Kluyveromyces lactis: one gene and its partner. The protein of the gene in region 1 interacts with the protein of each later gene in a pairwise test. Links are inferred from orthologs where the notes say so. Each region holds a gene or a part of one and is shown on either strand. Other genes may lie near its edges.

The links.
Region 2: the proteins of KLLA0_A09757g (region 1) and UBP2 interact in a two-hybrid assay, tested with the Saccharomyces cerevisiae proteins (2 studies listed by BioGRID). The link is inferred for Kluyveromyces lactis from reciprocal best matches to the Saccharomyces cerevisiae genes HUA1 and UBP2.

What each region holds. Positions count from the first base shown.
Region 1 is NC_006037.1:854,767-857,466, reverse strand, and holds KLLA0_A09757g (uncharacterized protein), read left to right. Parts: upstream 1-1,467; coding exon 1,468-2,061; downstream 2,062-2,700. Other genes in the region: KLLA0_A09779g (uncharacterized protein), read left to right, coding at 459-914; FOL2 (GTP cyclohydrolase I), read left to right, coding at 2,567-2,700. UniProt on the Saccharomyces cerevisiae protein: May be involved in assembly and disassembly of the actin cytoskeleton.
Region 2 is NC_006041.1:219,103-223,840, forward strand, and holds the start of UBP2 (ubiquitin-specific protease UBP2), read right to left. Parts: upstream 3,208-4,738; coding exon 1-3,207. Other genes in the region: FRQ1 (frequenin), read left to right, coding at 4,145-4,717. UniProt on the Saccharomyces cerevisiae protein: Has an ATP-independent isopeptidase activity, cleaving at the C-terminus of the ubiquitin moiety in natural or engineered linear fusion proteins, irrespective of their size or the presence of an N-terminal extension to ubiquitin.

The DNA of each region.
Region 1 (2,700 bases):
TTGTTGCGTGTATATCAAATACTATGAGCATATATAGAGAGGCAAACAGTGCCTATCTTGATGCGTTAATGTGCACATATTTACTGCGCTCGTCCAGAAGCCCATCGCTTTTCGCGATTGGGCTTCTGGACTGAAAAGACGTGAAGTGTTACCCGGTCATTGTGTTTTCCGGGTAACGAAAATCGTTCGAGGCTTTGAATCAGCAAATTTACCGGCCGTTGCTATTAAGTCCAATGGTTTATACCCTTGAAGCCACCATTACTATACACCATTTAGGGTTCCTTTTTCCACCTTAGAGCCGTGGATTTGCATGTTATTGCGTGGATATGATGGTTCACTCATCTGCTAGACGAGTCATGGATATATAAGACACGCATAAGCCAGATGTCTAACTAGATGCATGGAAGAAAGGTTGGAAGGAGCCGTTGGCTGTTAGGCACGTGACCCAACATTCTATAATGGCAGCGTCAGTTAAACAATCAGGTATTCTTCCGTCGTATGACGAAGCAGTCGGACAAGGTTCGTCTACCGGTGCTTCTCGGCATCAAGAGGCATCAAATGATGAACCAAATGATGAACCAAATGACGAATCAAATGATGCGTCCAATGATATACCAAATAATGCCACCAATTCCACCACTACCAGTAGCTGCAATACCGGTACTGATATCGACCAGCTTCCCTGGACGTATCCTCCATGGTATTACTGTAGAAGGTGCGGGAACACCGGTGTAGAGACCAGGACGCAACGCAGGTGTAGAACATGTTGGTCAAGATTCAATAGAAGGCAGTTTCCAGCAAGACGTGGTCTTATACTCACAGTTGTGCTCTTAGGTGTAGCTGTAGTAAAGCATTTGGGTAAACATGTCAGCAATGCCAGCCATGCCAGCCATGCCGCCCATGCAACGGATTAGGAAGAGATTCTACATAACATGTACACCCAGGTAAATAATTTAATTTATATTAGCATTGCAACGCCCATAGTCAGATACTCCTAACCATATGAAGTTGCTTGTCTCTCTCAGGTGTCTGTTGATTGATGACAGATTCCTTTGTCAGTAGTATGAGATCGCCAGAGCAGAGATATGAGTTTGTTACCCGGATATTTGTATATATGGTCCGGGTAACATGAACTGATCAAGGCTTTGACTTTGATGCCCATTAGAACCATTAGTAGGAGCATTGGCAAGAGTGGACCCTTGTCTGTAAGTCCGCAGTTACTCACTGGCTGCATCCAGTAGTTATCAATGGCTAAAAGCCCAGTTTAGGATCGGGATTCGTCCACATTGCAGCCGTCGTGCTATAGGGTTTCCTCATTTTAGGTGCATCTGCCAAATAAATCACGTATATATAAAAGATCAAGATATATAAGGGACATATATTTAGTCAAAGAAAAGTGTATGGAGAACGGGATCGGGATCAGTAAAGAACAGAGATCAGAGAACCAGTCACTTTGAGAATACTTCAATGAAATCAGAATCAGATATACAGCCAGATGAGCATCTTCCGTCGTATGATGAAGTGCTGAGACAAGATACTGCTGCTGCTTCGCAGCAGCAGCAGCAGCTCCCACCAAACCCTCCACCACGTCCAACACAACCACCAGCAAGACCGCCCCGGCCAAGCAATGCCATACCAGCGTACCATCATTCCACTAGTACCTTTTCAAGCAGTACCAGTACCAGTACTGGCAATAAGAAACTACCCTGGACGTACCCTCCAGGATATTATTGTAAAAAATGCGGGAACACTGGCACCAAGATCAAGACTCAACAAAAATGTAAGAAATGTTGGTCGAAATTCTACAAACCCCCACCTGCACAACCACCACGTCCAAGTGCAGGGCCAAGACCTGCGTTCGTATACTCTAATGTCACGATGCCACCACAGAATTTCGTCATAAACTCAGCACCTATCGTTGTGCGTCCCGGTGACAGTCGCATAGGAGGCATGATGTGTAACAATTGCAATGGGACTGGTAGGGTACGATTCTTCTTGGATAAAGAACCGTGTCCCGTATGCTACGGTCTTGGCAGGATTCTTACTGGACCAACCTACTAGTTTGATCATCTGATTCGCCCAAACTCTACACTGTTTAAGTAAAATTGTACATAATTAATTTCTATTCATTTCATGTTTGTCCATTAACAACATTCAATAGCAGGGTACTGGCTGAGGTAGCACATGATAGAGTAACTAGTCATGTCTAATTGCTGCTTCTCATGGTACGGTGTTTCCACAGTTTTACTTTTTTTCCTTGTATGACAAAAAGTGAAAAATTTCGATGAGTTCGAGTTATAGGAAACAAGAGGTATAAAGCGTACCATATGCATTTGTTCCATTGTAAAGTTTTCGATTTTGGGTTGGCTCTTTCAAGCTTTAACTGATTGGATAATTCAGTGAAAGTTTGTCGTTTTGTGTGTTAGTTTGTGCGTACGTGTCTCCTTCTGTCGGCTTCTCTCAACAAGTCCCGTTGTCTGACCAGTATCACATATTTATAGGGTCTTTCTTTTGCATGGATTAGTAACCCATATCAGGTAACCCATACAGCTAGCTATATTCAATAATGGAAAACAAACATATCTCGCACGTCTCTCAGATTGAAAGACGTGCTACTCCTTTGAACATTCGTCCAGCTTCGCCTTATACCTTAAATCCTACTGTGGAAAAAGACGGTTTATCATGGCCTAGTATTGGTGC
Region 2 (4,738 bases), on another chromosome or scaffold:
GGATTTTAAAGTTAATCCTATTTCGTTCTGTGAGAGTAGTTTCCTCTGTCTTTGCTTTAAGTCTTGAAGTTTCTGTTTCAATTCTGCGTTTTGTTGAATTTCTGCTAATAGTTTTGGATCCTCGGTAGCCATATATCTATCCATGTACAACGTTTCGCCGAAAGGTAGCGGCTCGATAGACTTGAAAGGCATGAATTTTTCTCTATCATAATAGACTCTCTGGATTTGAATTTGTAGAACCGCAGGTAACTCTGAGATAGATACAGTTCTCTTTACATCACCATACTCCTCCAAATTCAAATAGTCATTCTGAAAGTAAAAATCTAAAGCATCATAAATATCCTTTGGATGGTCACCGGTGTTAACCAATAAGGATAAAAACCTTTCATATTTTGTCCGGACAGAAGCCTCATCATTGACTGGTATCAAGTCCTGTTTAATTCTACCGTAAAACAACTGTTTGACAAGATCATTCTGTTCCAAGTCGTCTTCCAAGCTCAAAGGTTCTGAAGCAATCTCAAGCTGAGCCAAGACGTTACCTATACATTCTGTAACATCTTGTTGTCTTCCGATCTCCAATGTATTTTCAAGTTGGTCCGCACTGATTTTAGCAACTTGGACGGAATATTGCTGTGTTCCTGCTTCTGACGATGTTTTATGTTCGGGGAGCGCAACCGGGCTCTGGCACATTATGATATCATCATCACAAGACGCTAGGTGACGAGTAGTATCAGTGGGGTCTTCGACGACGTCAGTTGTTAAGTCGATGAGTTCTTTCTGGGCAACAGTATCGTCACCGAACTCCACCTCGACATTACTCGGAGCAAAGGCTAAGTAGACCAACTCTTTTGTGGGCGTGACGCATCTACTGTTTGTGTGGATCATGTCATTGAACAAATCACGAAGATGGTAGACAAACTGGACCGATCTAAGCTCTTCTTGTTTGCTGACCTCCCTGCCTCCAATTCTTCTTCTAGAGTGATATTCAGACGCATCCAGTAATTTAGCAGAGTCATCATCATAATTCAAAATAAAATCACGTAGAGGTTTGATAGTGAAAAAGAATTGAAGTAGTGAGTTTAGGTAGCATGTATTTCCCACATTATTGATTCCAGCTGGCCATGTAGCAACAGGAAGACAACTTACGTCCACAATACCGGTGTCTAAAAAGTGGTTGATAAGTTTACTATTTCTAGTAAAACCAATATTCTGAAGGGCCATTTTCAACTTCAATAGATAATCAGGACCTGTCATAATTCCGTGACTCCATTTCTTTTGAAAAACTTCAAGGATGACATCGTCGCTTGCATTCATGTCAATTTCAATGATGTTCAATGCTTCATCGTATGATATGTCAGTGCAGTTGTAATATTGCGCAAATTCTGGACATTCATCTGTCAAGACATTCAAAAGAAATATTGAGCGCCTATCTAGTGCTATTGTAAAAATCGCCCGATCATAATCTTTTTTCAAACCAGGGGCATCAGCAATATTGATCGTATATGCAGTTTGGATAATATCATCATCTACTGTCTCGTCTACCTTTAAAAGAGTGTAAGCTTGTTGTACATTATAATATGGTTCATACTCCACCAAAAACAACATCTTTTGACTACCTAAATATTTTCCTAGCACACGTAGGGCATTTCTTAGATCTTTTCTTTGATTATCAGAGCTCCTTAATAGATGAGAATTGTAATATTCAATCATCGTATTGGCATCAAGGAGGCTTGCGTCAATGTCAGTTGGATCTAAACCAAATACCTGTAATGCATTATTCAAATCTTCATACCCAACAACATCTTGTTTTCCACAGTAAGCAATAAGCTGGTAACTACCCTTTGCGTTTGTTACATATTGGAGAGCATCAAAATAATGGCTGATGTTTTCCTGATCAAGTGCAATTTGAGTTTCATAGTTTTTAATGATATCCTTATCGATGTACTTAAAAGCAACAGATAGGTTAATAAAATGGTAATTTATGTCGTAGGGGAATGGTTCAATGTGTTGGTGGTTCAAAATATTGAACCACCATGTGTGACTGGCACTAAAATGTTGATTAGAAAAGCACTTTGCCACTGTCTTCTTTTCAGTACCAAGTTCATTTTCAAGTAGCATCGACTGCTTACCAATTAAAACAACCTCCATGGATTTTCTGGTATACGCCTCTCTAATCCCTCTGACCTTAAAATCTGTGATATAATCAACTAAATCTGGTGGCTTATATTCCTCTCCAGATTGGACATTATCTTCTACAGCGGTCTTCTGCAAACTGAAATCAAACATTGTCGTTAACCAGTCAGTATTAATTTGTGAGTTGAGTGCAACACTATCCCTGGAAATAATCTTAAACTCACTATTAGCAGATTTCCTCTGTAATGGGTTCTTAAATATCATGAAAAGAGTTTTCAAACACTCGGCTTGGCTAGGAATATCGTCCGGGTTCAATAAATCAAATTCTTGACATGCATTTTTATATCTTTCCTCAATTTTTGCTGTTCGATATTCAGCTAGGTTCTCTGAATTAAATTCTGGTTTTATTATCTCAACAAGTATAAGTTTATTAGTATCAGCAGAAACAAATATACTTTGGTCTACTAATCTACAGTCTTTCTCTTCCATTATAAAGATATCCCTTTTGTCGAATGGATGTAAAGATTCAGGCTCTAAAACATGATAATGAGTTATCCCAACGTGTCTATTGAAATTTTCCAAGTATGATCTCCTTTTCACAGTAATCTTCAAATGAAAGAAGTATTCAGGAAACTTGTCAATGTCATCAAAGTCATTAGGAGTAAAATTCGGATCTACCAGCAATGCGAACATAACACTGATGGTATTCTTCCCTGGACAAGTCATTGAATCATAATCATATCTGCTTCTCAAATTAACCTGGTCAATTAAATGCACTAGGTTCCACGGTTGCAATTGCTGTCTTTCCCTCGAGTACTGAAGCATTGGTTGTTTCATCACAGATGAACCAAACTTCTTCAAGAACCATGGTGAAATCCTAATGTCATCTAAAATTCGATCGCATGTTTTGAACGGAAAACTTTTCGAAATATCTCCGTACAAAAGCGTCTTACCATCGTCTACTAAATCTGAAAATGATTCCAACGACTTAGATCTCAGTACTTCTGCTGTTTCCGAAACAGAATCTCTCTGTTCGCCATTCAATTCTAAAGCTGGTTCTTGTGAAGCCATCATCAATTCGAGATTCTATTCTCTGCCAAGCTATCCTCAAATTGTCACAATATACTGTAGCGTGTCAAATGTATCAGAATTGAATCACTGGGAGTATTAGAACGAGCCTAGAAGTGGCAAATAGATATTTTTAATTATGCATTTGCCAAAGGATTGAAGATCTAGTTTTCCTTAAAATTTAATGCAATTACTATTCTGATTCTACTTAATTCTTTTGTTACCCTTTAAAATTTGTCAATAGTGGAAATCTGTAGACAGAACCACAATGAGTGTGTGGTGTACGGATTTATACTCACAGTTTTAAATTTAAACGCATTTATGGCGGTACAAAGGGCATTAAAATGAGTCAAAAAGGGCCTCTATTCAAATTACCTATGCCCTGTTTGATGTAACAGCATTGCTATTATTCCGAAAAGACTGAAACAGCTTTACAACTTGTTTTTCTGAGTACTACGTAAACTATAATTTATAACTCAATGTAACCTATTCAACCTTTGAATGTTGAAATAGGTTCATAAAATCCAGAACTTTAAAACGCAGTCGTTGAGTTAAAAAGAGGAAAAATAGTTCGATCAGTGGCACCGCTTCATAGTGAGCATCTGAAGAATTTTAGTAGTCGTTACTTGAACACCAACAAGCAAAGTAGAAGAGGAACGGTCATCTCTGTCACTGTTTCTATCGTTACTTTTAGAGAATCATCTATGACGGACTTCACAAGCCACTTTCCTACAACGAAATCTGTAAACTGCAGAAGAGAGAAAAACATAATTAAAAAAAAACCAATATAAAAGATGTTGCATGAGGAGTTGAAAAATTTAGGGAGGAAGAGCTTCAGGGTCTAGTCAATATCTTTTCCGAAACTGATCATAGGTAGCTTATAGTGGCGTTTGATCACAGTAAGTGTTAAGATATATACTATCCATGGAATAACAATAATAAGATGGGAAATAAAACGTCTACACTTTCAAAGAATGATTTGACCAGTTTGAAGCAATCTACGTATTTCGATCGCAGAGAGATCCAACAGTGGCACAAAGGGTTTCTACGGGATTGCCCGAACGGCCAGCTAACTAGAGAAGAGTTCATCAAGATATACAAACAATTTTTCCCCTTTGGCTCGCCAGATGAGTTTGCTACGTATGTGTTTAGCGTGTTTGACAAGGATAATAATGGATCCATTGACTTCAAAGAATTTATCACAGCATTAAGCACCACTTCCAGGGGCTCCTTAGAGGAAAAGTTAGTCTGGGCTTTCCAACTCTATGATTTAAACCACGATGGCGTAATTTCATATGAAGAAATGTTGACCATAGTGTCAAGTATTTATAAAATGATCGGGAACATGGTAAAACTAAGTGACGATGAAGCTACTCCAGAGTTAAGGGTAGAAAAGATCTTTAGGCTTATGGATAAAGACAAAGATGGTTGTATTACGTTAGATGAATTTAGAGACGGATCGAAGGTCGATCCATCTATAGTAGGGGCATTGAATCTTTATGATGGATTGGTATGACCCTTGTGTAACCTGCTTCCA